4 linked regions of the Medicago truncatula genome follow. Each later gene encodes a partner of the first gene's protein in a complex. Links are inferred from orthologs where the notes say so. Each region holds a gene or a part of one and is shown in the gene's direction. Other genes may lie near its edges.

What was found.
Region 2: transcription initiation factor TFIID subunit 5 (region 1) and transcription initiation factor TFIID subunit 13 share a complex: the UniProt entries of both Arabidopsis thaliana proteins name them as parts of the TFIID complex. The link is inferred for Medicago truncatula from reciprocal best matches to the Arabidopsis thaliana genes TAF5 and TAF13.
Region 3: transcription initiation factor TFIID subunit 5 (region 1) and transcription initiation factor TFIID subunit 7 share a complex: the UniProt entries of both Arabidopsis thaliana proteins name them as parts of the TFIID complex. The link is inferred for Medicago truncatula from reciprocal best matches to the Arabidopsis thaliana genes TAF5 and TAF7.
Region 4: transcription initiation factor TFIID subunit 5 (region 1) and transcription initiation factor TFIID subunit 15 share a complex: the UniProt entries of both Arabidopsis thaliana proteins name them as parts of the TFIID complex. The link is inferred for Medicago truncatula from reciprocal best matches to the Arabidopsis thaliana genes TAF5 and TAF15.

Annotation. Positions count from the first base shown.
Region 1 is NC_053044.1:52,381,312-52,389,019, forward strand, and holds the start of transcription initiation factor TFIID subunit 5, read left to right. Parts: upstream 1-4,583; 5' UTR 4,584-4,693; coding exon 4,694-4,860; intron 4,861-4,946; coding exon 4,947-5,028; intron 5,029-5,125; coding exon 5,126-5,204; intron 5,205-5,570; coding exon 5,571-5,668; intron 5,669-5,779; coding exon 5,780-5,836; intron 5,837-7,708. Other genes in the region: uncharacterized protein, read right to left, coding at 1,044-1,676, 1,921-2,046. UniProt on the Arabidopsis thaliana protein: TAFs are components of the transcription factor IID (TFIID) complex that is essential for mediating regulation of RNA polymerase transcription.
Region 2 is NC_053042.1:42,950,572-42,958,330, forward strand, and holds the start of transcription initiation factor TFIID subunit 13, read left to right. Parts: upstream 1-4,726; 5' UTR 4,727-4,884; intron 4,885-5,631; 5' UTR 5,632-5,652; coding exon 5,653-5,755; intron 5,756-5,838; coding exon 5,839-5,876; intron 5,877-5,989; coding exon 5,990-6,049; intron 6,050-6,151; coding exon 6,152-6,226; intron 6,227-6,775; exon of another isoform or gene 6,776-7,512; intron 7,513-7,759. UniProt on the Arabidopsis thaliana protein: TAFs are components of the transcription factor IID (TFIID) complex that is essential for mediating regulation of RNA polymerase transcription. May be involved in polycomb repressive complex 2 (PRC2) mediated repression.
Region 3 is NC_053044.1:41,300,951-41,308,043, forward strand, and holds transcription initiation factor TFIID subunit 7, read left to right. Parts: upstream 1-4,450; 5' UTR 4,451-4,645; intron 4,646-5,011; 5' UTR 5,012-5,013; coding exon 5,014-5,265; intron 5,266-5,370; coding exon 5,371-5,490; intron 5,491-5,600; coding exon 5,601-5,670; intron 5,671-5,965; coding exon 5,966-6,123; 3' UTR 6,124-6,528; downstream 6,529-7,093. UniProt on the Arabidopsis thaliana protein: TAFs are components of the transcription factor IID (TFIID) complex that is essential for mediating regulation of RNA polymerase transcription.
Region 4 is NC_053045.1:36,232,646-36,240,625, forward strand, and holds the start of transcription initiation factor TFIID subunit 15, read left to right. Parts: upstream 1-4,970; 5' UTR 4,971-5,167; intron 5,168-5,747; 5' UTR 5,748-5,796; coding exon 5,797-5,916; intron 5,917-6,272; coding exon 6,273-6,628; intron 6,629-6,733; coding exon 6,734-6,925; intron 6,926-7,980. UniProt on the Arabidopsis thaliana protein: TAFs are components of the transcription factor IID (TFIID) complex that is essential for mediating regulation of RNA polymerase transcription.

The DNA of each region.
Region 1 (7,708 bases):
CAATTCAGTAATAGATTAATACTATGAAAAATCAATCTCACTTCACAATAACAATAATAATATTGTGATAACTTGGCTATGCAAAAATTATATCTTTTGAAAATAATACTTTTGTATTAAGCTACATTACTAATAACATCATTTATAAGATAAAGTTTTTTTTTTTTTGAATTTCTTATCAGTTGATCTTGAGACACTTATTAATATTCCTTTAATTAAAATATCAAACATTTCAATAAATATAATACAAACATTCTCAAAAAAAATACAATCATTAGTGGGGGCAATTGCCCCTCTAATTTCATGTGTGTAGATCCGTGAGACGGTGACAAGTCATTGTAGGTGAGTTGATATTTCAGGGTCCATCAAGATTAGAGTAAACTTTAAAGCTCAATGAACGCTTATATAAGCACTTATTCATCTACCAAATGACCATGTAAGTTAGTCAAATCTTTTAACTTTCTTTGACTAGACTCGTCCAGTGAACTACTACGCATTATGCTTAAGAGTAAAATGCATAATAACAATTTACACACAAAAATTAACCACTCAACCTTGATGATATGGGTTCGAGATCGTGACACTGCGAATACAATTTATACACAACAAATAATGATGACATCTCATCCAAATTCAAAGCACGTCTAGAACACGAAAAGACCACTAAACTTCAGGGGTTGTAGCATCGAACAATAACACTGAGAAGTTGGAGTTCATGCACACAAAATGGCAAACATATTTTTTTTACTAGAGCACATCCCTTTTACAAAAATTATTATTATAGACGGATAAAATGACAAAAATTATTGAAAACTCACGCACACAAATGGAGAAGTCGAATTTCTAACTTTGATTTAACATACTTATATGCAACAATATATATATTTTTGAAATATTATATACAACAATATTTTTACCAACTAAGTTTTTTTTTGAACAAACAAAAATGAAACCTATATAATAACAAACCGAAAACTCTCCGTAGTACAAGGTGTACCAAGGAGAGCCCAAAAAATTACAGATATACAAAGTCCAACAAAAACTTAGGCCAGACCCAAACAATCCAAAGGCCTTGACCACCACAAATCATAACCGAAAACAAAAACGATATTACTAGCTTTTAGCCAACACAAAGAGCGTCGCTTCACTTTATCCAACAACTGATCAATGGAACTACCTATATTAGTAAACAACCTTTGATTCCGATCATTCCAAATGATCCACGCACAAAGTAACCAAACAAGCTGCAAAAGAGAGCGTCGAGCCCGCACCCTTCCTGCTGAATGAGTAAACTGAAAGAAGTGCTCTGAAACCAATAAGGGGTCTGGACCTGAGGCACCAAGCCAAGACCGAACCCGAGACCACAAAGAACCATAATAATCACAATAGATGAATAAATGCTGAGAAGACTCCAAAGCGTCGCACCCTAACAAACAGCCCGCAACAGTGGCTGGAAGGATACCATAATGCACTAGATTTTGCCTTAAAGGCAAACAGTTCTTCAGCAACCTCCAAGCAAAAATAAAGACCTTAAGCGGAACATGAATGTGCCAAACCAAAGCATCAGCACCATCCACCTGAGGCCGATCCTGAGAAGTCAACAAATGATAGGCACTCCTGACTGTATAACCTGCAGAATGATCCAGCGCCCATCTCCATGTATCTTTCTCATTAGACTGCAAAGAAACATGACGAAGTAAAATAATACACTCCCCCAGCATCTCCTCCTCCCACACCTACAACCTCCGCCTCCATCTCCAACCCTCTCCCCCAACGCCCACCCACTAGAGAACATATGCGCAACCGAACAAGACTTATCTAAAGTAAGGTCAAAAAGGTGCCTGAAGCGCACACAAAACGGGACATCACCAACCCACACATCACGCCAAAATAAAGTATCTACCCCGTCTCCCACCATACGAGATACTCCCTCCTGAAACCAACCACCACCAGAAACCTCCACCCCATCCCTAATGTTAGCGATTTCTCACCACCACGCAGAACCACTCCAGCCCCCAACCTCCAACCTCCCATCCTCCTCACCATATCTCGCCACCAAAACCCTATACCATAAACTATTCCTCTCTACCAACAGCCGCCAACACCATTTACCTAACAATGCAATATTAAACTCCCTCAACCTCCGCACCCCCAAACCTCCAAACTCCCGCCGTGAACAAATAGTGGTCCAACTAACCCAAGAGAGTTTCCTAAGCACCTCACAACCCCCCCAAAAAAATTTAGAAAAAATAGAATCAAGGGAAGAAATTATACCTGACGGAGCCTTGAAGAAGGTAAGAGCATAGACAGGAAGAGAGGTCAAAATTAGGTGTGAGCATTAGGGTTGTTCATCAAAATAGGATATTAGGTGTGAGCATTAGGGTTAAAACAGTAAAATTATGCAATAAGGTTTAGGTTAAATTTAGAGCTTACGGGTTAACTTTAATATATAAGAAGATTAGATGATAGCATTAGGGTTGTTCATGAAAATAGGAGATTAGGTGTGAGCATTAGGGTTAAAACAGTAAAATTATGCAATAGGGTTTAGGTTAAAATTAGGGCTTACATGTTAACTTTAATATATAAGAAGATTAGGTGTGAGCATTAGGATTGTTCATGAAAATAAAAGATTAGGTGTGAGCATTAGGGTTAAAACAGTAAAATTATGCAATAGGGTTAGGTTAAAATTAGAGCTTACGGGTTAACTTTAATATATAAGAAGATAAGAAGATTAGGTGTGAGCATTAGGGTTGTTCATGAAAATAGGAGATTAGGTGTGAGCATTAGGATTAAAACAGTAAAATTATGCAATAGGATTTAGGTTAAAATTAGGACTTACGGGTTAACTTTAATATATAAGAAGATAAAACAAATAAATCAATTGTATTTATCTATATCTCTCTATATACATAGAGGGGCTATCAACCGTTAAATCTAACATTCCCTAAAAAAAAAAAAAACGTTAAATCTAACATAAGTTTTTTGACAAGAAATCTAACATAAGTTGTTGATACATATCGTGTGTGTATTGTAAACCACAATGTATAAAGTTCGGATGTTAATCATAAAAAACGATACACCAAGTTTTTGTGTAGTTTTTATATTTCAATTTTATATCCTTAGTTTATACTATACTATTTTATTTATAAAATCATTTTACGAAGACTACAAATCAATCTAGATAGTTAAAAATTTATAACTCTCGCATACACTATGCATCAACTACTTGCATTAGTTTCCATTGATATTATCATACGTCATGTAAGATATTTTTTTACAATCTTATTTTCTTCACCCAATAAAATAACTATTTTAAAAATAATTACGTAGAATTTTGTAAGTTGAATATTTTTATAGAGAAAAACAGGTTCTAGGAAACTTCAATAAAATACATGGTGCAATTGCAAATTTCTTTCTATAAAAAAACTCTTCCAGAAACATTATGGTGCGGCTGCTAGGCTAAATAAGAAAAGGAACACACGCGCAAATTGAAAGAAAATTGGTTTCATTTCATCATTGATGATATCATCATCAATCATAATTTCAAAGGATGGTTGACTGTTAATGGACCTTGACTTGAACTTTAGAACTTAGATTGGGCAACGTGGTTAAAGAAGCAAGTTCCAATTTAAGTTCTACATTTTGGATGTCCCAAATACTCAAACTTTGCGGCTCATTAACTAAATTATTTAGACGTAAGGCTTACTTACTTCTGTGATAAATTATTACTCATAGTTTGAAATTTTTCATTTCGTACATATCACTCTAATTGCCCAGTCTCACTAGACAATATATGAACAGGGAACTGATGTGAACTTCTATTTAATTATATTAGATTGTTTGATTGTATTAACGAGTGTTCAGTTAGAAGCTAACACAGGAAATAATTTATGATGCAACTTAATATATTAGATTTAGTCCATATGTAATAATGAGTTGCAATCTAATTTGTTTCTGTTAGGAAAATGTCATAAAATTGTGAGCGCGTTTGTCATAGTTTAAAAAAAAAAATATTTTTGAAATAACTTACTTTGTTTTTATTTTTTGATGGTCGGGATTCGAACCCCAGACATTACATATATCATGCATTGAATATAAACTATATAAAATGAATTCTTTTGATCCTTATTTTCTTTCTCCTAGAATTTTGTTTTACTTTTTTGAGAAGATGCTCTCAACAGTTTCTCATTTAAAATTGTTTTTAGATTTTTTTTTTTTAAAAAACTTGTAACAAAAGAATCCAATTTTTTTTTTCCAAATGAACGATCCAATAATTTTCTTTTTTTGAAGGAAGGATCAAATATTCTTAAAAGTGATTATTTTCTTAAAAAAGCTATAACAAACCGGCTCTAAAACAATTTTTTTTGTGCGATTCAAGCATCCTTTATGCGTGCAAGACATGCATTCTTATTCTTGAAAACAAAAAAAAAGAAGGTAAGATTGGATAAAAGAGGGTGTAGCAATAGAAAGGAGAGTGTAAATAGTATCCCCATACATGTTTTGATCTGGGCTGAGATTTAGTGAGCAAGGCCTGTTATTCAAGAGCCCAAGCCCATTTATCAGATCTGATTCCAGAACCAACCCTAACGAGACCAGAATCAAATTCAACACGAAGTGTCTCTGCGATTCTGAGAATCGAAGTGAAGTGAAGTAAAAGGGTTTTTGAGCTTTGAGCTCGAATTTGCAATCGAAAATGGACGAAGACGAAATTCTCGGTTACGTAACCGCATACTTGAAGAAGAAAGGGTTTAAACAAACCGAAAAAGTTTTCCAAGAAGAATTTCAACAAAACAAAACAAGTTCATCCTCCAATTCCATTCTCGAACCTGACATTGCCAATCACCTTCATGCATTCTCTCAGTAATTTTCCATTCTTCAACCTAATTTTTTCATTCAACGATTCTTCCTCTAATTCACGTAAATTCGTAATGTATTGTGTTTTGCAGGTTGGAGAATGGTCCTGCAAGGTATCATAATGGATATAGTAGATTAAGAACTTGGACTTATTCTTCATTGGATTTATATAAGGTAATTAATACACTGTTTAATTGCTTAATTTCATTTAATTTGTTTATTGAATCAAAATTATGTTTTAATTTTTGCTTTTTTTTCTTTTTCTTTTCAGCATGAGTTGCTTCGTGTGCTTTATCCGGTGTTTATCCATTGTTTTATGGACCTTGTAGCGAAAGGGCATATTCAAGAAGGTACAATAAGTTCATGTACACTTGCATAGTTTTATTGGAATGTTTGGTTTTGGATTGACTTATTTGTTCTTATCTACTTACATAACCACTTATGAGAATGTTTGATAGAATTCATGGAAATAGAATTTGACATATTCATAAGCTTTTTTCAGTTGATTTCCATAAGCTCTCCAAGATAGCTTAAGAAAACTTTTACCTTATACGAAAATAGTTTGATTTCTTGTAGTAATAACCTATATACAAGAACTTATATGATAGACACTTATGTTATAAGTGCTTAATTAATCTGTTTATCCGAACATGACCGAAATGTGAACCATCAGATGTGTTTTATAAAATCAAATATTTTGTTTTTGATGTCCTCAGCTCGAAATTTTTTCACTACTTTCCGCGAAGACCATGAATTGATGCACTTACGTGACATTCAAAAGTTGGAAGGAGTTCTTTCTCCTACTCATTTGAAGGTTAGTTTCTATCTAAAATCTTATTTTACTCTCTGAGCATCTTCTTGTTTTTTGGATAATCATTCATCAACAGTTTGTTTTGAATAATCCAACTATGTTCTTTTTACTTAGGAAATGGAGTTTGCTCATTCGCTAAGGCAAAGTAAATTCAACATAAAGATATGTGAGGTAATATCTTTATTCTTCTGAATCTGAATTAGTTTATTGACGAAGTTAGTTACAGGTTGTTAGAGCTAGTGTGTAGGATAACCAGTTTCTAAATAGACCTGATGCACACTGTAATGATTATGAATTCAGAAATGAAAGAATAACATTAGAGATTCATAGAGTTCTCTCAAGTGAATGTACCAAGTGTTCATCTTCTAACATACTCTACTGGATTAATTTCAGACGTCCTTCAGCAATTTAACTCCCGTTCCATGCTTTCTCTTCTGTGTTACATGAATCTGTTTTTTACCAATTTATATGATGCTTTTTATTTTGAGAGAATGTTTGGCTATTAGGATTTGTTCCATAATGATGTCACTTAACAGGCAGAACAATTTGTAGGCCTATTATGTGTCTGTCATGAAAGTTATCTATGATATATGATCTCAAGGGTTAGCCATCTGGGGCTTCAACCCTTACTTCAAATCACTCAATTCCTTGTTGGGTTGCCCTTGGACTCTCCTTTCCCATAATGCAATGCAAATGACTCTTCATATCCAGAGGCGGAGCCCCTCATGGGCCAAGGTGGGCCATGGCTCATCCCCAATTTTTTTCTTCTTATTATATATATATATTATGTTTTGTAATTATATGATGATTGTGTAGCATGCTGTAGTGGTTAAGAGCCTTTTTGCCAAGTCTTATGTGCTAGGTTCAACTCTTGCCAAAGCCATTTTCATTACTCTTTTATTTTCTTTTGTATAAAAAAAAGCATTCATAATTGTTAAAATAATCCTTTTTTTTTGTTACTTAATCCTTTCTTTCTTTAATAAAACATAACTCCTTTATTCAATTTAAAATAATCTTTTCCTTCCTTACTCTTATTTTTGGGTACAATTGTCTCTTTACTCTTTTATTTTATTTTATTTTTATACAAAGGAAACTTCAACTCTTTTTTTGTCAAAAAAATTCTCTTTCAAAACACATAACATATTTTTTATATAAAAGAGGACCTCAACCATCTTTTATAATGCATAACATATAACATAAATGTTAAAATATCCTTAAAAAACATGATATCATAAAAATATTTAATTGTATAAACATTATTTTTTAGGTAAAAAAAAAAAAAAAACTTCCCTAAAAAAAAAGGTAAAAAAAAATACTATATTCTTTATTAAATTAAAATATATTTCATTATTGTACTTGATTATAAGTATATTTTCTTATGTAATGATCTTTTTTACATTAATATATATGTCATGAGTTTTATTTTAATTTTTTTTTTACTCGGTCGTTTGATTCAATTCGATTTAATACCTATACATCTGTTTATTGAAGTCGAGTTATTTAATTCAGTCGTTAGGTTCAATGACCTAGTTGTTCGATCAATTATCTTGTACTTTATTAAGGTTGATAAACGGTTCAGATTTTAAAATATCGGTTTGAATTATATTCAACAAATAACAAATTTGTAGTCATTGGAACTAACCAATAATAAAATGTACTTGTAAGAAAATTAAGCTCCATCACTATTTATGGCCCACTCTAGACTTTTTTTCTAGCTCCGCCATCATATCAATGTGGTTTTCCATTTAGGGTCCGTTTTGTGCACATGATATTCAAGAGACATGATAGGATTAGAAAATGGTTAAGGATAGGATAGGATAGGATAGTGACATGATAGACACTTATCCTATCATGTGTTTGGTGTACACATGATAAGAAAGATGATTGAGAACAAAAAATTCATATCGTTTAATTAAAATTATGAGGAATTGAACTTTATTGAATATTTTGGAAATTGAATTGATTGGAATAAAAAAAAAACACAACATACTGCATGTCGAAATCATTATAAGGAATTGAATTGAAATAAAAAAAATTGAATTG
Region 2 (7,759 bases), on another chromosome or scaffold:
TATTATAGACTTAATTACACTTTTGGTCATCATGTTTTGGCATACTCACGAAACTGATCATGCCCTTTTAAAACAGAACAAAACGGTCCTGCAATTATCATTTTTGTTGCATTTTTCGTCCTACCCCCCATTCTATTCTCCAAAAACGCATAGAAATGACAGTTTTAGACCCATCCCCTATGCTCAACCATGAAATAAACAAGGAATAAAGCATGTGGGTACAAAGAATCCACTTTATTCAACACACTAACCAAAAAAACCCTAATTTCTAAGATATGTTTCAAATTAGGGTTTTTTTTTGTTAGTGTGCTGAATAGAATAGATTCCTTGTGCCCACATGTTTTATTCCTTGTTGATTTCATGGTTGAGCATAGGGGTAGGTCTAAAACCGCCTAAAATTGTCATTTCTCTGCGTTTCTGAAGTTTGAAAATAGGAGGTAGGACGAAAAATGCAACAAAAATGATAATTGAAGGACCATTTTGTTATGTTTTAAAAGAGCAGGACCAGTTTCGTGAGTAGGCCAAAACACGAGGACCAAAAGTGTAATTAAGCCTTCATTATATGTGTAGAGAGACTTTCATCCTTTATCCGCCGTGCTGGGGTTCATGGGGATATTCATGACACCTCTATTTGTAGGGGTACTCCAATTATTCGCATATGATTGTCTTTTGTTTTTAAGGGCAAAAGAGAATGAGACACAAACCATGAAGCACATTTTATTTGTATATGAAGCACGATCAAGACAATTAATTAGTCTACCAAAATAAAAAATATTTCTCCAACCATTCAAAACTCTATCAACAATACTTTAGATGTTTAAGTTGTTTATTAGACAATGGCAGGTACTTAGGGCCATCTTCAATTATTGGGAGAAACAAGGGGGACACTTTTGATTTTATCAAAGACCAAGTGTGGCAAATAATAAATTCGTGGAGCAACAAGTGTTTATCTAAGGCAATCCTTCGGTGGGTGCGTGAGATACATGAAGAGTGGGGAAATAAATTCTCGAAGATTTTTTCAACTGTATTTTGAGAACGTACTTTTGGAAACATCATACTTAAAATCAAAGAGAATTTATTTTCTCACTTCTCACACGCCCTCCAATCTGAAAATTTCATCCCGTTTAAAATTTATAATTCGAAGCATATTTGATGGTTTCCAGATTATCAAATTCGAACGGTTTTTAAACAATTTTATAATTTCAATGAAATAAATTATTAAAATGCCATAAATTAAAATGACAAAATTTAAAGAGGCATAATATAAATTGGCAAGGGTCAACACATTTTATCATTTGATCAAGAATTCATAATACATTCACATTAACATAACACTTATTACAACAAAATAGTACACATATAACATTAAATATTTGGTTTAGGAAGATGAAGGGAGAAAAAGATTTGTCATCCCTCTCGCTCACCATCTGAAAAAGATGGGAATACAAGATGATAGAGTGAGAGAAGGCGACTCTGATTAGCAGCCCCAAATCCATACGAATCCCAAATTCAAACAGATATGGAGTGCAACTTTGCAGAGGGAAACTAATAAGAGGATATCAGCTGGAATGAGAAATTGTGAAGAATGAGTGAGTATTTATATGCAAAATGAAAACATAAACTATAAAGAGAGTCAAGGGAGGGTTTAAACACATGATCAACAATACAAATCCAATCAAAAACATATGGAACATGCATGAAACTAGTGAGACTTGCTGACCAACACACCGCCTAGATTTTGGACTGGTTCAAATTATATAATCCGAAATTATTTTGATTTTTTTTGGATTACGTAATCTGAAATGTTATAAGCATGTGTTGAAACTTGTGTTTTGAAGGGTTTGGTACAATTCATATTATATAATCCGAACCAGTCAAATACAAAAATATTTATGTGGTTCAAATTGTAGTGACAGCTTCTGTGGTCTATGACACATATAAGCTTCTATAAAGTAGAGTGTTCTGTTCATTTGCAAATCACACCGCAAAATCATGGACACTTATCCAATAGATGTAAACACCATGCTAGTTGCAGTTTACTACAACAGAGGAAAACTTAATTGGTTCAGAGTCCACATTGATGTCACACTGTCTGACTTGAAGGAACAACTAGACCAAATAAATGGTCGAATAAACCACAAAGATATTAGGAGGATGAACAATTTTCAGGGATGGTACAATGATCGACAAAGACCTTCATATCAATTATAATTTAAAGGGTCTTGTTAACGAGTGCCCCTGAGACACTCTTTAAGCATCAAAAATTTAGTAATTATTCTTTTAAAAAGTCAACTACTACAATTTCCAATGCATTCAATACACAATTTTTTTTTTATTAAAAATTTACCATTTAAAGTGTTTAAAAAGTGCTCTGAAGACTCTCGTTAACATGTCCCTAATTTAAATTATAGATTTTGAAGGACACATGAGAAAGGAAAAATAAATTCTTAAAACCAAATTTGCCCAGGTAGGTTGGGCTAGTACCAAAAAAACCCACAAACATTTTTTTTTTTTTTTTTTAACGAAAATATACAATATCCTTCTTTTCTTATCCTATTTGATTTCTTAGTGGTCTTATCTAGTTCGAATTATAGAATACGAACGACGGCGTAAACACCTTGTAAAAATGTAAAAAAATATGTAAAAATATTTCAGATTTTAGAATCTGAATATGATTAAAAAAAAAAAAACAGCATCGCAACATCATCTACTTGAACGTGGTAGAAAGAGGAGAATTAACTCGCGTATCTGTTTCTTCGGGCAAAGGCTACAGTGGGAGACCTCTTTAGGTCTCCTACCGTAGGAGACTTGATTTTTTTTTTGCAAAACATTAGATATACTTGTAAGTTTTTTAATGGTTGAGATTTGTAGGTTTTGTAACCTTTTAGGATTCTATTTTTTAAACATAAATATTGATTTTAAAAATGCAATTAATTTTGGAATCATTATTAAAAAACTTTTTGTTTAATACTCTCTTTATTTTTGTTTAAGTGTGAATCTAACGTTCTTATTTAACGGCCGTTTTGGTATTTTAAAAGTACAATTTGTCAGTTATACCCTTTGTTAATTACTCTTATTTTTTTTTAATAGAACTAATTAATGTTATATATTTGAAATTTCAATAGAACTAATTAATGTTATATATTTGAAAAACTAAAGTTTGTTTTTTAATAAAAAAATAAAATAAAATTTGTTTCTTATTATCTTAAAATTGACAATTGTTTGTTATGAGAGATAGAGTGTGCAAAAAAATAAAAATTTGTTGGAGAAAATGATAGTAACTAACAATTGTTTGTTATGAGAAGACAAGTGTGCATAAAAATAGAATTTTGTTGGAGAAAAAGATAGTAACTAACAATTATTTGTTGGAAGAGATCATAAAAGATATCACTTTCCGTCATTGTTGCCTCTCATCCATCCTCGTCGGACACATTATAAACTAACATAATAATTCAGTGCAGGTCTGGGCATAATTCATGAATTCCAACTCACTGAACTTGATTGTTGAATAAAAGGTTATTTAATAAAATTCTACATTAATTTTGATATTTTGAAAATAGTTATAAGTTTTCAAAATTTTATCATATCGACTTTTTTTTATGTATGTGTATAACAATTTATTTTTGCATATATAAAAAAATAAATTCTACAATTGACTGATACACTTCAATTATTTAACAGATATTTGTATAAATAAAATAAAAATATTTAATAGAAACATTGCGTTAATACTTAGGGTGTTCAAAATCGAACCAACCCAATAAAAAACCGCAAACTGAACCAATCCAAACTGAAATTGTAAAAAACCGCATTTGGTTCGGATGTATTTGGATCACTTTCTTACTCAACTGTATAGTTTAGTTTGGTTTGTGGTTTTTATTTTATCAACCGAACCAAACCAAATCAAACCGCAACATAAGATAAACACTAATTAAACATTTGTCACCTAAACCAAACACTCACATAGCCTCAATGATAACTTTTATAAAATGACATATTTTTTGCTTTGTTAAATTTCTTATTTGATTTTTATTTCAAAAATATATCTGTGTTACTTGGACTTTTAGATAATGTAAAATCTTAGTATTTAGAATTTCTTTCGAAATAGGATAACTTTTTATCCATCTTTTTAATTTGGTTTATGTTGTTGGGAACATTGTTAGATGAAAATGAAATTGTAATGTTGAATGACATTTAAAACATCGTTGAAAACATAGCTGAAAATATGTTGTGTTCTAGCTTTTTAACTTGATTTTAACGTTGAAAACAAAAAATTGTATGAGAAAAACCACACCAATTGATCCAACCCAAACCACATTGGTTTGGTTTGGTTTGATTCAGATTTTATTTTAAAAGCCGACCGAACTAAACCAAAACGCATGTCTGTTTATCTTACAGTTCATATGACTTTTAAGTATTAACCGTAAAACTGAATCAAACCGCACCGCGAACACCCTAGTTATTACTTGTAATTTTTATTTAACATTTTTAAACATTCAACAATATTAACAATCCAAATTGTTACACCCCTACTAAGCATTTATATTTTGTAACAAAATTTGGTTCCTACAATTACTTATTTATGTTCTATGAAAATTCTACTAAGACCAAGTTCTTTATGAAAATCTTACTAAGGCCCACTTACGTTTTATGAGAACCTTATTAAAACCGCGTAAAATTAAAATATAATTGAAAATATTCCAAATTTTTCTTTATACAAAATAATTAAAAAGGTGGCTTTTATAATTCCCTCAACAAAAAAATGGCTTTTATGATTGCTTAAGCAGTGCACAGTAAAACAACCTACAAACGTTGCTAATCCACATCTCGCAGCGTGGGAGACCCATCAACGTAGCGCACCCTAAACGGAGCCGTTTCTTCGAGGTAAGAAGATCCAACCCACACTGCTCTTTCTTTCATTCGTTCGATTCAGTTACTTGAAACATGCAAATTTTGCTGTGTAATGCTAGGTTAATTGTAGTCCCTGTTTTGTTCATTGTTGAAGCAAAATCATCATAACCCATAATAACTCAATACGAAAACAGGGTAATAAGTTCTCAAATTAGGGCTTGATTTGGTAGAACAATAATTGAAGATAATGGAGAAATGCATATTTTAGTTGTTACAATTCTGTGAAACTAATGGGGTGCAGAAAAATAACCCCTTTTGTTTGTTTTCTTGTTTAACATGTTTGTTCGCAAGGTGTTTGTCAAAATGCCTCAATAAGGTTAATACCTGAATTGGAAATTTTATCATAAATAAATAAGTTTAGTTGTATTGCATGAAATACTGACACATACACAGACACGATCTTGACACTGACACATACACAGACATGATCTTGACACTGACACATCAACACTAGTGATAAAAAAAGTGAATTAATTGAATGTAATCACATTTGTAGTTTTCAGACACCCGACACGCCTTCAATCAGAGGTGTCAGTGATACGATGGTTGTATTTGTATTCATTTTGATGACTATAAGTGTAGTCATCATTCCAGTTTTTATTCTATAGGATTATGTGTGCACAGGAAGCATAGCAGAACCTGCACACATTTATCAAAAAATTCAAGTTTTATGTATTTTCAGTTTCCTCTTTCCTCTAACTATAGTTACTAAAATGACAGTGGAAGCATTAACCAACAACAATGAGCAATTCTGCCGCCGGAACCTCATCAAAACAAAGAGCAGCTTCCTCACAACCACCAGACACTTCATCCAAGCGCAGAAGAGGAGTTTTCCAAAGAGAATGTAATAATTTTTGTTCCTAAGTTTTTAAATTTTAGCGTAGTTATTTCTATTGTCTTCCTAATCTTCTTCATTGGTTTCTATAGTGCAGCACATGATGTATGGCTTCGGAGATGATCCTAATGTAATTCTCATTCTAACTTTTTCATTTTTCATACTATGTTTGCAAATTTTTTATTCTTTAGATTATGATATTAATTTGAACTTTTACTTATTCTTGTTTTCCACTTGAATTAGCCACTTCCTGAAAGTGTGGCGCTTATGGATGACATCGTTGTAGAATATATTACAGAACTGGTAAGTATCATTCTAATGTATCTAATTGTTCAACTTAGTCTAAGTGCCACGGAGTGGTTGGCCTTTGTCCTTACATGATTTTTTATTTATTTTTTTGTCAAGGTACATAAAGCACAAGATATTGGATCACAGAGGGGGAAGCTATCAGTTGAGGATTTCCTCTATTTGATTCGCAAGGTACTCTTTTGTTAATAAAAGTTGCAAATATAAATCTTGGGGAACAAGAATCTAAATTTATCTTCAAATACTGCTGGAAATGGAATGCTACATACATGCTGTTGTCACTATTCTCAAGGGAACCATGTGATTTAAAAAAGTTTAATCACCTGCCCAACATGTATTAAAAGAGAAATGCAAAACTAAATAAATGAAGGGTTAATGGTGCTTTACCCCCTGTCATATAGGTCATTTTTGGTTTTCCCCCTGTAAAATATTTTTTTTGATTTACCCCCCTGTAAATTTTTTTTTTTTTTTTTACAGGAAAACCAAAAATGACCTATATTACAGGGGGTAAAGCACCATTAACCCATAAATGAATAACTTAACTGTTATAAGAATACTAAGAAAAGCTAACTAAAATTCTAATGAACATTTCTGTACACAGAATACTATACTTATTGAACATCTTTTTGTAAGTACTTTATTTAAATCTTACACTTCTATTAGCTAGAAATATCACTTCTGGTCTGCCTTTATGGATATATGGTCTTCATTTGCTTATTGCAGGCAATAAGCATGCTATGTCACAGTGGCCTGCAATGGTGGTTTAAAGTTAATAGTTGGGAAGTTGTTAGTTGTTAGTTAGTTACTGGTATTAGTCTCCAATTCAATTTTTATACGAGTCTTTAAAGGTCTTCTACAGAGAATTCTTTCTCAAGTAGGATATTCCCAAGCTTCTATAAGCCAAAGTCGGTATTAATGGTTCTTAAACTTCAAACCTGTGAATCAGTTCCTAATCCTAAATAACCTGTATTGGTTCAATAATCGGTTATCTAATGTATCTGTCAAATCTGAGGTTAGGATCTATAATCTTGCCTTAAATCGCTTAACTCTTTGGATCAACAGGGTAATTGTATGGTACATTATTCATTAACAATGAATATGGGCACTGTTAGCACTATAATAGCCGGACTGCTGGACACAGTTCTGTTGTTGACTATACGCTGCCAACTTCCTCATCTTAAACTTGATTGACCATGGTGCTGTCCTTTGGACCCCACTCATGCATAATTATGCTGTACATATATCTCTTGTTTTGATTGTACATTTTTGTTGAGATTTCCCTCCCTTCTTCCATAGGCTTTATAGTTCTAGGACAATTTATCAGATTAACATTAGATCTCTTATCATTGATCAAACTTTGGGTTGAGTGAACTTTGTCTTTTGAGGATTAATAAGTGCTACTAATGAAGCTAAATGCACCATAAGATGCTAAGATTATGTGTTGCAGCCTCCTTGCAGAGGTTAGTTTTCTGGTTCCTTAAAGGCTCATACACACTTCGGCTTAAACCTTTCCTACACTTGGCCAGGAGTTCTGAGATATAAACTTACATATTATGATGCACATGCACTAAAATGAAGGTTATTTTTCATCGAGTTGAGCAGATGCACTTTGATATTATTAGAAAAATGCACTAAAATGAAGGTTATTTTTCATCGAGTTGAGCATATGCACTTTGATAGAAAATATTGAAGCTTGCATATAAAAGT
Region 3 (7,093 bases), about 11 Mb from region 1:
CAAAATAAAATCAGCCACAACATAAAGCAAATAGACAATAATCTCTATTTTGTTATTTTCTTTCCATTCTCTCTCCATTGAATTGTTTTGTTCTAATTTCAATTCTTGTGGAATAAGTCATACAAAAATGAGCATAAATTCAAATGATACTTTGTTCTACGAAATTAAAAGATTGAATGAAGCAGGTTACAAAATTTATTTAGAGGCTCCACCCCATATTGTTTCAGATGGTTTATGGGGTGGCCATGAAAATGGAAGGAGACCAATGAAATCTTTCTTGACCTTGTTTGAGTTACAATTGGTTATCATTTTTGCACTCACGCAAATATGTCGTTTTCTTCTCAAATCTTTGAGACTCCCTCAATTTCTTTCACAAATGATTGTAAGTATATCCAATTGACATGATTTTCAAAAAGAATAATTTCTTTAGTGCATGTTTAGATTCACGGTGAATCTATCAAAATCATCGTGAACCATCCTAATTTTGCAAAAATAATATTTTGGAACTTCAACAAATAAACCCATCATGATTCAACATTCATGTGGATAAATCGTAGTTATTAGATAAAGTTAAATTGCATATAGAAAATAGATTTTGTTTCTAATATCATTTCTTCCATGTGTAATTTTCATTTGAAATGCATTACTCCATTTGTCCCACAATAATAATCTACTTGACTCTTTCAAAAAAAAATAAAAATTATTTGACCATTTCACACAAATGAAAAAAGTTATATAAATAAAAGAGATAAATACTAATGATACTAAATTATCATTATTAAGTATTGATATATTTCTCATTATTATAAATACAGAGTAAAATATATCGAGTTGAGAGTAATGCAATTAGTATTAATTAGAGTAAAATTGAAAAAAAGTAATACCTCCTTCAAAATTAAAAGTGATTGTAATTTTCAAACAATTTTTTATTATTCCAATAGGTTCATTATGGGAGGATATAGCGAATATTTTGTAGAGAGTATTTTCTAGAACTGAAATTAAACACACTACTCGTACCATTTGCAGGCTGGATTGAGCTACGACCATTGGACGCATACATGGGCAAGTTGTTTCCATATGGAACTCATGAAGTAATTTCATCAATAGGTATGGTTCTTTTTGTTTTCATAAATGGTGTACAAATGGATTTCAGCTTGATAATAAGGACGGGAAAGAGAGCATGGATAATTTCAATAATTGGATTATTAACAAAACCCCATTATGTGTATGTTTTATACCACTACTAACATAACATTGCATGGAAAATTGGAAGCCATTGAAAAAATAGGCGGGGAACTCACAGTCTAAGTCAATTTGCAACAATTGCTTCACTCCTAAGTGAACTTCAAATCCAAAACTCAGAGCTTGGTAGATTGTCTTTGTCATCGGCTTTGGTCAGCGATATACTGACCACAATTAAAGTAGTGCATTTGTTTTGGTTGTGCAACAACAACTCTCACACACGAATGACCTTAAAGGGTGGATTTTGTAGTTGCCAAGACATGATAGAAAGAGTATATCGTGTTTAAAAATAGGTTAAAATATGTTTTTGGTCTCTGCAAATATAGTGAGTTTGTATTTTGGTTCCAGGTAAAATAAATTTTCGAAATTCATCTACGCAAAAGTTTTTGTTTTTTAAAAACGTCCCTGACCCCACTTTCTTGACGATTTATCACATTTTTGCATACATGGCAGAGGCTGACTTTGCATCCATGTACACATGACATTTACATAGATTTAAATAATTTAAAATAAAATAATAAATCAGAAAATGTTATTTTAATTTTTATTTTCTAATTCTAAAAGATCATAAAATCCCTTTCTCTGATCATCTCCTTCGTCCTTCTTTTTTCCTTCCTTTTTTTTCCTCCTTGATCCCCTTTGTTCATTCTTCTTCTTCTTCCTAACGTTCCTTCTTTGTCGAATTTACCCATTCAATGTTGAAACAAAACCATTCTTGTTCACCCAATGAACAGTGACAATAATGGTTCTCTAATCAAAGCTTGCTCCATTCCAAACTCAACTCCATCCTTCTGTATGGGCGGCGCAAACCGGGTTTTTTCTGTGACGGTCGTCGCCGTCATCATCATCAATTGCTGAGATTAGCAAATCTTGATACTTTTTCCAAGACATTCTAGATCTGGTTTGAGAAGATCTTGAAAAAATCTTCAACCCAAGTTCAAGAACAACAAGATCTCGAAAGAATGGGATACTAGAAAACGCAAATGCATATGAAGATGAAGATGATAAGTTTCTTTATTTGGGTTGAAGATTCATGTGGAGAAGATAAAGATGTGTGTATTTTATTTTTTTCATTTTGTGATGAAGGGTACTGGAAGAACACGTGAAGAAGGAGAAGATGAAACAAATTAAATAAAACCAATTTTTTTCTTATGAATTTTGATTTTATTTTAGCAAATGATTTAATTTTTTTTTTAACTAAATAACATTAATTGTTTTATTTTTTCTTCAAAAAAAATTAATTGTTTTATTTTAATTTCAAAAATATAATTTTTGTCTATTAAAAATATTTATCAAATAAGTTAATTGAAATAAATGCCACATGGACAAAGTAACACAGTCAGCTAATGCCACATATGCAAAAAAGTGACAAATCATCAAGAAAATGGGGTCAACGACTTTTTTAAAAAATAAAAAATTTTGCAAGAATGGATTTTAATTTTTTTTTTTTTTTACCAAGGACCAAAAACATATTTTAACTTTAAAAATATAGGTACTTAACAACTTTTATATATAAGATAAGACAACTTTTTTGCTCAAAGACATAACAACTTTTATCCAAAGATTTTTTTTTTGCAAAAGATAATATGATAAGATATTAGATCATTTTTATTAAAAAAAAAGGCAAAAAAAATTAGACAGAAAAGTTGCTACAACCTTTTCCTTAGAGACTTAAGAACTTATAAATGAGATACGAGATCATTTTTTGTATAAAAAAAAAAAAAAAAAAAGAAGCAAAAAATTAAGAAATCTACAACAATTTGTTTGACTCTAAAAAATGGTCTAAGAGATGTAAGAACTTTTTTATAAGTTAAGATACTATATTCGACCAAAAAAAATGATAAGATACTATTTCTTTCAAAGAAAAAAATCACAAAGGAAAATCACAACAACTATTTTTGGCTAAAAAAATAAGAACTTTTATAAGATACTATTACTCAGCTCAATTGTTAAGAACACTAACAAAAAAAACCATAATTTAAAACATATCTTAGAAATTAGGGTTTTTTTGTTAGTGTGTTGAATAAAGTGGATTCTTTATATCCACATGCTTTATTCCTTGTTTATTTCATGGTTGAGCATAGTGGGTAAGTCTAAAATTGTCATTTCTCTGCATTTCTGAAGTTGAAAATAGGAGATAGGACTAAAACTGCAAAAACATGATAGTTTAGGGACGGCTTTGTTCGATTTGAAAGAGGCAAGACCATTTTCCTGAGCTTATCAAAATGCGAGAAGTGTAATTAAACCAAAAATATTTCAAAAAAATAGTTAGAATTTTTTAACAAAATACAAATTTTTAATCGTAAAATATATAAAAATTCATATTAAATTTATGTTTTGTTAAAAAATTCTAATTTTTTTAGGGAGAGATTCTTAAAATATTATGAATTTGTCTGCAAAATTTTATTCAAAAATATGAATTCTACATATGAGTTTACTTTAAAAGATGGACCAAAAGTAGTGATTGAAAATTTTATAGGGACTAAAAGTTGAAGGAAAATTTTAAAGGGACTAAAACGAAAAGTTGGTATATTTATAGGGACCAAAAACATATTTAACCCCAAAATAAATAACTCAAATTAAAGAGAAATAGGACGTTCGTTTTTCTGATATCTTTTCGATGATCACTTCCGTAGTTTGAACCGGTCTTTTTTTTTTTTTTTTTTTCTTCCGGTAAATCTCAATGAAGCCCTCATCTTCCTTCACTCTTCAATGTTTCCTTTCACCCTTTGCAACAATTATCTCCAGTGTTAATTTAGGTGGATTAATTTAACTTCTTTAAAAAAAAAAAAAAAGTAAAAATATCATTGATGTTCTAGATATAAAAATATCTTGATCGAAAAAAAAATAAAAAAGATTTTTCTTTAAAAGGGATAAATTACCTCCAATTCATTGAGGTATAACGTAAAAAAATCCTTATTTACAAGGTTCTTGCAAAAAAAAAAACAAAACTGTAAACTCTCTTTTATACACTGCTATATCCAAATAAACTGAATTATTAAAAAAAACAAACAAATTGATTCTGTTTTTTCATAATATCTTTATAAAATAATCTCTAAATTATTTTTTGGGAAAATTAGCTAACAAAAATACCCTTAATTGTTACTTTTTCCTTTAAACTTAGATCCAACGGTTATAAGCTCATCCTAGAGAAGACAACAATAGCATCCGTTGGATGAATGATGAATCTGACCCAAACCAAAGCCACGTGTTTTCTTCAATCCCCTTCATTTGCTTCATCTTTTTCTCTCTCTTCTCTCGCAAATCCTTCCAATCCGAAAACCCTAGCGCCATCGTCACTTTCGAATTCCGGCTGCCACAGACCTCATCTTCCAAAATTGAACCGATCAAATTGTTTCTTATCATCTCTTCTTCGAAAGCCCTCAATCAATTTTTGATTTTTGTAAGTTATTTCGGAAACATTCAATGTAATCATGCTCGTAATAAATCAATTTTAAAAATCCATGGGCCTCAGTTCAAGATAAAATCACTGATTAAAGACTTCACGATATCGTGCTCGTAATAAAAATCCTTTTTTTTTTGTTGTTTTTGTTTTTCCAATCAATTTTGATCTTTTATTGTTTGTGAAATTTCATTTGAAAATCCATTGGAATTGTCTCATGAATGCTGATTATCATTGATTATTGGTATATACTGATGCAGTTATGAAACCAATCAATTGCAATGCCCGATTCTTCAATTCAATTCAATTTGATTATATTATTATTTACTATTTGTAATGATTCTAAAAACAACCTGATGGAATTAGATATGGAGGAGCAATTCATACTTAGAGTTCCACCTAATGTTGCGGAGCGGATTGAGCGTCTTTTGAATGAAAACAATGCTTCTTCATCTGAAGACAAGTCGCTAGATTTGCAATTTAGCGATGATGGAAGAAGCGGAACGTTTGTGATTGGGGATGAGCATTTCCCAGCTTCTCTGCTGGACCTTCCTGCTGTCGTTGAATCTTACAAGACTTATGATGATAACTCTTTGGTTAAGACTGCTGATATTGGTCAGGTCAGGTATCTATCGTTAATTCATATTATTTGTTTATTCTTAATCATACTCCTAGATTTGGATGATTAAATAACTGATTGCCTTCTTAATGAATTCAATTAACAGATGATTATGGTGAGGGAATCTGGTGATGCTGCTCCAGATGTAATTGAGTATCGACATGGTCTCACCCCTCCCATGAGAGATGCCCGTAAGCGTAGATTCCGCAGAGAGCCTGACCTTAATGTAACATATTCATATGTGCTTGCATTATCTTAGCATACCTGATGCCGCTCTATTATCTGTGCGTTTGTGTGTCCCTTACTTACCATGTGTTTTCATTCTTCGTTTTCCAGCCTGAGCTTGTCTCTCGTGTTGAGAAAGATCTTCTCAAAATCATTGCTGGAGGAACGGCTGAAAATATTGATATCCTTTCATCTTGTTTGTTTTAAGCAGTTGTTTAGTAAACATTCTAAGTCTTAGATTCAAATTTACGATTTCACTTTAAAAAAATTCTTTGAAATGGAGGTCTGTTGAGATTTTTTTGTCGATTACTTTCTTTGCCCTGATAACTCATTTCTCTATCTGACCTGGGGTTCATGGCATAGCTTGTAGTATCTATTTGCATTTGCATTTGCATCAATGACAAAAGCAAGTGTTTTGCTTTCATTATATTGTTAATTGTAAACAACCTTTGGCTATTTTCTTGACTGAGATTCACATGTGGAAGTAGCTGAGCAAGAAGGTGGTGAGAATGCTCGAGGTGCTAATAAAAAACCTGCAGCTACATCCGCATCAAAGAATGATGTTCCAGAGACTCATACAAACGCTGGGGATGCTGACAGGAGTGACTCTGATGACTCTGATGACTCAGTTTAACCGATATTAGCTAGCTACCAAGGAGCATTTATATCAGATGAATGCTTGCAACACCTTTCTTGACATGTTCTTGAACACTCTTTATGATTTAGACTTTTTTTTTTTTAATAGTTGATTTGGTTGTCTCACTTTTGAAAAATATACCCACCTTTTTAGAAATGAATCAATCATAAAAGAGTATCAGAAAGGTGTTTTGTTGGCATTCACTATGTATAATCATGTGCTGTTGAATTTGAATCCCGTTTAGAGGAATAAGATGGGCTGCAATTGATTTGTTATCCCACATTGTGCATTTTGGTACATCATTTGTTGTATTTTAACACCATTTTTTATTGTGCAACTGCCTTTAAGGTCCTAATTTACCCAGCATATATATGAGAATAAGATTAACCATTTGTTTTTTAAGCTATTGCGTTTTAATGTTCTGTCACCGTGTCATTGTACAAAGCAAATGCGTCATACTCGATTTAAGTTATGTTTAGTATTTATCATCTGTTGGCTTATATTGTATTTGATTAGTTTGTAAACATGTTTGGCTAAAACAGGTGTTTGATAAATGAGTTTATTTACTGGGTTATTGTATGTTTTAGATACTATTAAAAGTTACGTTGAAGTTTATAGTTTAGTGTTGAAGGTTTCCAATAATAATTGGTATGAAGCACTAAAATTCAAAGGATCAACGGTACTTCAATATAATGAAAACATTAAACCAAACTTTGAAATGACAATGTTCAAGTGAGGCCTAAAAACATAAATTATCTACTTCACAACTAAATTAGAAGTTTAGTGGCTACACATGGAGGAATTATCAACAATACATAAATAAAAGAGGAATTATGTCTCGACGAAGTAATAAAATCAACACATTTATTAAACTTGCGGTTGACAAGATACACCGAATGATCCCAATCTAGACGTCAGAACTTCATCTAGAATGAATTGGAGAGGAGAGGATGGAGCAATCTCCGAA
Region 4 (7,980 bases), on another chromosome or scaffold:
TAAGGGGGTATGTTGAGCATCTCCCCCTTGAAACGAGTTGTTGCGGTCAAATTGTGACGTGTAAAGTGGCAATTGTGACGTGTAAAGTGGCAGCACACCACGCCTCTGGTTTGAGGTTCATGTGTACAGTGCCTCTTTCATTTTCGCTACAATCAGGGAATAAAGGTGTCAATGATTCAATTAACCCTGGTTCAGTTAATTCTTCCATCAATTGATTGAAGTCTTCCCCGCAGTCGTTGTCGAACAAATTGTAGTAACTATCCTCTAACCTTAAACTAACCAAAGTGCAAACAATTGACTTAGCCATTAATAATACTACTTTGCCAGGAACCACCATCTCATATTTCTCCTTATCAGGGTCTTCAGAGATAAGTGAGAAAATTATAATGAAAAATTGTAATAATGAACAATTATTTTGAGATAGATTGATAATAAACTTTATCGGGAGAGAATGATGTAAAAGAAACTATAAGAGTGATAAAGAATAAGAGAGAAGACAATTAATGAAAGAGAGTGAAACATCAACGATAAACTTCAATCGTAGCATTGTCCCTAACTTTAACCTAACACAAACATTGACCTTGTTCAAACTTGAACCCTAAACACCAATAAGTCATAAGAGAAATTTGTATAACTATTAAACATTGTATGATAAACATGATGTGGAATAAATAGTCACAAGAAACTGGATTTAAATTGCGATCCTTTTAAAATTATTCCTGAAGCTTAATAAGTTTATATTCTCAACAATTTTTTTGGTAAATGTTAGTCAAATAAGATTATAAAGTTTTAAAACAAATGGTTTATATAGGACCAAAACATTTTGTATTAAATAAACTTTAAATGTTTAAATAGTTTGAATAAGGACCAAAATATTCTGGATGAAATAAAATTTGAATGTTTAAACTGTATCAATTAAGGACCAGAATATTCTAGAGAATAATTATATATTTAATATATAAGCAGAATAAGAAAAACAATATTAAGCTTAGGTATAAAAACTTTTTTTTTTTGACAAATACTATATTGTTATGGAGAATGATTAGATAATTAATATTAAAGCATAATGATCAAATAATATTATATGTTGATTTAAACGTGAGTTTACTATTCAGAAATTGTTTTATATTGGACCAAAATGTTCTGGAAGCAGTTATATGATTAATATTAAATAAAATGATAAAATAATATTAATTAAGGATCAGGGTGGTCTGAAATTTGGTTGTGTTTTAAATAGGACAGGAATGTTCTTGATAGATTAATAAAAGAGTAAATAGTCAATTTTCCTCTTGAAATTGTAAGTTTCATCAATTACCACCCTGAAATTAACAAAACTTCAATTACCTCCCTGAAATTTCACAACGTTAGTCAATTTACCCCCTCCGTCAAATTTTTCTGTTAGTGAACATGACGTTTTGCAAATACCCCCCTGAAGTTTTGCACTTATGTGCAAAATGCCCCCCAAACTTAAAAATTTATATTATTTTTTTCTTAAAAACAAACAATTAATAGTTAAATATTAAAACTAACTATTAATTTTGGAATTTGGGAAAACTACATGCATATATACATCAAAATAGGCTCTAAAATGGGGAAAAATATGTATTTTTTAAAGTGACAATAATGGGATGATTTGTGGATTAATATTGGGGGTTGTGTAGTTTAAATGGTTTGAGCAAATTGTTGAAGGAGTTAAAAGACTAAAATGGTGAAGAAGAAAATATAAATTTAAATCTGATTATTAATTTGTTTATAAACCTCTAAAAATAATAATTTGTCTATTAGAAATAATCATTATTGTCACTTTAAAAATACACATTTTTCTCTATTTTGATGTATATATGTATGTAGTTTTTCCAAACTCCAAAATTAATAGTTAGCTTTAATATTTAACTATTAATTGTTTGTTTTTAAGAAAAAATAATATAAATTTTTAAGTTTAGGGGGCATTTTGCACATAAGTGCAAAACTTCAGGGGGGGTATTTGCAAAACGTCATGTTCACTAACAGAAAAATTTGACGGAGGGGGTAAATTGACTAACGTTGTGAAATTTCAGGGGGGTAATTGAAGTTTTGTTAATTTCAGGGGGGTAATTGATGAAACTTACAATTTCAGGGGGAAATTGACTATTTACTCATTAATAAAAGTATTATAATTGTGATAGTGTGTGTGTGGTGTAACACAAATAATAAGAGAAAGGAAATAGAGAATAACACAGGAGATTTATCGTGGTTCATCAAAGTTGGCTACTTTCAGTCCCCACACTTATGAGTGGCACTATATTTTCTTGGTCACACCGAATCAGCCTCTTACACTATGTATTGTCAACCTCATTAGGCTTCTACAATTCTTTGTTTTTGCAAAAGAAAGGTTGGAACAATTCTTACTCAAACTATTGTAACGAATAGACTTGAGAACTATATTACACTTTGTATGATGAGATGATTTTTGGATCAAAGATGTTTCTCAACTCATGTTTGAGATTCTAATAAACAAACTCAAAAGATTATGATCCAATAATACAGTGAGAGAGTTGGAGTTTGTTATTTATGAAGATTTTATGTTGTAGTGAAGATTTCACATACATAATTATGTTTTTTATGTTCAAACTATTGTCATAAACCTTCATAGCCTTCCTCTATTTATAGGAGATGTAAGCCTTGGAGAACAAGCTTAAAAAAGAGTTGTTGAACACGTTTTTTAATGAAAAAAATGCTCCATAATGTTGCTTGGTGAGAAAGCATGAATTATGTTTACTGAGAAAGTTATCCAAAACGTTTTCTCTGTTCCATCCAATATTGGGCACAAAGTAACACGTTTTGCAAGTTAGTTGTAATCTTGTTGTATAAACTTGTTGGTCACCTTTTAAGACGTGTTGATGTCATCTTGATGTCATATGATGATGCCATATCTAAGGAACGACTTTGAGAACTTTCTTTGATGGTTTTGCTTACCCAGAACTTGAGCAAAAGAAGGAACATGTTTTGCAAGTTGTTATGATGGTAATATTGTTGTAGAAGCTTGTCAGCCACTTCATAAGATGTGTCGATGTCATATGCTTTTTTCACGAGGAACAACTTCGAGATATTTCTTTAATGGATCTTTTCACTTATTCCTTAATGGGTTGAACTCTTTTAAGGTCATTATGATGAAATCTATGTTCTTTTGCTTCCATGTGCAATAATGTCTTGATTTGTCTTGACATTTTGTCTTTTAATTCTTTAAGGATCTTGATTATTATGACCATTTATTCCTTCTTTTGATGAGACAAAGAGAATAAAATTTATTTTTGATCTTAATTACAAAGATCTTTGACATTGCTCAAAAGTTCACATTTTGTCATTTGATTTGTTTGTTGTTTTGATGAAGATGTTTTTGTTAGCTTTGCAAGGTCAGAACATTCTCGTTAATACATTCTCACAAAACACGTTAGTAGATAACAAGATAATAATTGTAATACGTTTGTTATCATTGAAACATCAAGAGAGGATGTTCTCCTCACTTTGTATAACCATAATGTTCTTTGTAGGAACATGAGAAACTTTTTTCAGTCAAAATTCCTTTGATTGATTTCTATTCTCCCAAATCATATCTTGAATCATCCCAAGTCTTTTATGATGAAATCTTAGTGCATATGATCATCAATTTTCTTCCATGTGATCATAAATTTTCTTCTTTGATAATTCTCCAATTAATGAACGACTTAATGAATAACTCATTCATGAATTAGTTTCTCTTCAAAGTTGATATAATCATTTCGATGAAGTAATGAGAATATTTTCGAGTGTAATAGTCATCTTCATCATGAGAACATTCTTTCATTAAAGTTGATAATGTTCTCTTCTATACGAGAAAACAATATCTTCTTGGTCAATTAACCTTAAATTATGCAATTATTCTCTTAGTGATTCCATACAATGTTTCTTGTCCATTGAGTATCTTTCAAATATTAACCATTTATTCGTCGAATCTTTAAGGCTTTGTTGAAAACTATGTCGTGACGAGGACGAGTCAATTAATCATGAAATTCATATTTCTGTTGAATCTTCAATCAACACTTATTTGATTCAAATAATATTTCTTCTATATCTTCTTTAAGCCTGTGGTGCTACTATTTTGATATTCTTCCACAAAGTATATATATACACTTGTAAGAGACTTCTTTTTTATCTACTTCTATTGAAAAGACTTAAGTGCAAACATTAGTAGATCATCATGGAATGAAATTAAAAATACACAATTAAATAAAATCCAGAATTATGTTCTATACAAAATGTGAATAACATTTTAATGTAAAAATATCAATAGTCCTTATTTTTTTTTTTTGAAATATCAATTCTCTTTATAATTGCTAGGGGAGGACGAGTAAAAATTGGTAGGAGAATGAAAATTTGGTAGGAGAATTCAAAAAGTTAGCTTTTAAAATTTTCATGTTTAACTAGCATAGTTAAATAAAATTCATAAAATACATTTATCATCTTCCATAATTTGAAATATTAAAAAAAAAAAAATCATGTAATCAAATTTTTTTTTATAAAGAAATAAAAATAAACAAATATGTCATTTTATATTTACCAGTCATTTTACCAAACATTTTAATTTTAATAGGCTATATTTTCAGTTACAAGTTATCAGTAATTAACTATAAACTAAATTTTTCCCTTAAAAAAAAAAAAACTATAAACTAAATTTTCAACTATCAACCAGCTTATATCTTATTTTTACCAACACACCATTTTTTATCTCTCTCCGTCATATATTATGGACTATGAACCATTACCAAACTTATTTTCAAACCTTGTTAGCGGATGGTTTAAGCGTGTGTCCATTTCAACGACGTAGCTGCTGTTTTGTTTTTCTCTTTTTTCATGTAATAAAAAAAAAACATGATTCTGAATTTATTATTTATCTGACCTAAGTAAAAGAAATTGCTGAAAGTAACAAAAAAAAAAAAAGAAAAAAAAAAGGAGAATGGCCGTAGGGATAAGCTGTTTGCTATAGGCGAAATAAAAAGGAACGCGAATAAATTAAAACGAAGAGAAATTAGCGAGGAGGGGGATACTGCAGACGGAGCGATAAATCACAGATCTATCTATTCATCGGAGAAGAAGAGAACATAGCAGAGCGCGTGCGTACTTCTCTCCCTCACGCGCTTCTTCGATTCTGGTTAACTCTTCTTTCCCCTCTTCGTTTCTTCATTCCATTTTCCTGTATAAGAATTGAATTGCAGTAATTTCGTTTATTTAATCAAATTATCTTCGTTCCTCTTTCAAATTGCTAGATTACTTCATTTGTTATCTCTTTCATTTCCTATTGCATATTTTGCATTATCGTACAACAATTATTTTTTCAATTTGTCACTTAAACCTATGATATTTGCAGCTTCCGCATTCAATTTTGAACTTATAAAAGTGATATAGATTCGTTTTTCTTATGATTTGCATCCATAGTCTTATTCAATTAGGTTAGCATTTTCATACGGTTTCACAAGTGCTTATGTCAGTTGATAAGCTCAAATAAGTCAGTCCAAACAATTATGTAGTGTTCGCATGCTATTTAGTACAAAATGTCAAATAGCTGTTATAAAGAAGCTATAACATTATCGCATAGCGGAATCTGATTAAATCACTATTTTCCGCGAACCGCAATTGACAATACTGGTGTCAAGTATCTTGCTTCTTTTACAATATTGTATTTAGTTTTTACACTGTTAAAAGAAGTGACGTGCATTTGTTTGTTTTCTCAGAGCTCTGTGCTGGTTCTCATTGCCTTTTATTTCATGATATTGAGATTCGATGGCAAGCATTCCTGGAAAATTTGCTCCTTCTAATGGATCTATCTATGTTTGCAACTTGCCTTATGGGACTGACGATAATATGTTGGCTGAATATTTTGGCACCATTGGAGTAATAAAGGTATGGAGTCTGCAACTATCCTTCGATTCAAAACAATGCTATGTTATTCTCCAATTTTATTTTTCAAGGAAAGGAAATTTTACAGGATTTAGGAATATAACTACCAGAACGTGTTGGTAATGTTTGTGACTTTATTATGGTCAGTTTGGAAATTCATATTTCTATGTAAGATGTGATTACTTGAATGTTTTTTTTGTCTGTCCTTGCAAAGTGAGGTTTATTTGGGATTACTGAATGATTGATTTGTTTTTTTTTTTGTTGCATTTTGATTTCCTATTTATGCGGTTCTGTTTTTCTGTGTTGCGTTCTATTTCCAGATTATCATTCATTTTTCATTCACAATCCATGTTTTGCAGAAAGATAAACGTACAGGGAGACCTAAAATATGGTTATATCATGACAAAGAGACTAATGAACCAAAGGGAGATGCTACTGTGACATATGAGGATCCACATGCTGCCGTGGCTGCTGTTGAGTGGTTTAACAACAAAGATTTTCATGGCAATACAATTGGAGTTTATATAGCGGAGTCAAAAAACAAGGATGACCAAACATATACTGCAATAGCAGAACCGGTTGTTGCGGGTACTGATGTCGGACCAGAGGAAACTGAAAGTGATGTCGATGGTGTTAATGGAAGAGGCAGAGGTCAAATTGATGCTTCCAGCAAACCATGGCAACAAGAGGGCGATTGGATGTGTCCGAATACAAGGTCTGTGATATGAGATCGGTGAGCAGCTCTTTCTTGCTCTTTTACACATTGTTTCAGTCATAGTTTTTTGCAGAAAGAATAACACTTTTTTTTTTGTCATAGCAGTTGCTCGAATGTGAATTTTGCTTTTCGGGGTGCGTGTAATCGCTGTGGAAGTGCACGCCCTGCTGGTGCTTCTGGCGTTGCAGGAGGAGGTGGCCGTGGCAGGGGACGTTCTGGGCCAGATGCAGGGGGTATTGGCCGTCCAGCTGGTGCAACTGCAGGACTATTTGGTCCCAATGACTGGCCTTGTCCAATGTACGATTTTGTCACATTATCCATCCCCACATTCTTTCCGTGTGTCTGATTTATTTATACTTGTTTTTTATTTTATATTTTGTTTCTCAATTCTAATTCACTATTTTAGCGATAACAATTAACACATATATATTTCTTATTAAATTTGATAAACACGTTGCCCAGTTTCATCAATTGGGTTACTCATTACTTGTTGTGTTGTATTATGTTGGACGTAGTGCTGGCGAACAGTTAAGCCACAAGTAAATTGAATATGATAGTGAGATATATGTTTGTATATGTATAATACACAAAGACAACATACTCTTGTGAATGAACATGGCTCAGAGAAGAGTTAATGATACCTGTTTTCTTTAATTGATACCTCCTGATTTTGCACTTTGCAACGTTGGCTGCATGAGATTTGTTAACTTTGATAAGGAAATTTTATAAACTAGCCAAATTGCGTTCCCTTTTGCATTGAGTATTAATTTTGGCACATCCCGACCCAATCTATCATTTTATCATCTACTATTCTAGTTCTCTATGAATTTTAAAGGAAGCAATCATCATGTGAGAGGTTGATTGAGTGCAAATCTAGTGGCCTTTCCAATTTATATAAGGTCAACTGATTCTGTTACAATTTACAGCCAATAAGTGTTTATAGGCTGTTGATAATATGATGATGACGTTGAGGTGAGCTTTGTAACTTCTTTGACTTTGTTGTTAACCTCTCCCCGGGTTCTGGTTCTTGTCCTCATCTACTGAACTTCTCTTTCCTCTGTCTCTTTTGTCCTTGTGGGTTGTGACAGGGTTCCAGTTGTTGTAGCAAATTTAGGACTAAGATTGTACACTGTTGGAACTTGGGAGTGTAGTGCAAGTTGGCTATATGATATGGGGCTTATGGTCAGTTATATTATCACTAGTTTTTATTCATTTTGAATGAGTCTTGCTCTGCTTAACTGAACAGGCTAATATGATACGGGGCTTATGGTCAGTTATATTATCACCAGTTTATTCATTTTGAATGAGTCTTGCTCTGCTTAACTGAACATTAGGCCGAGGCTGTTATACAG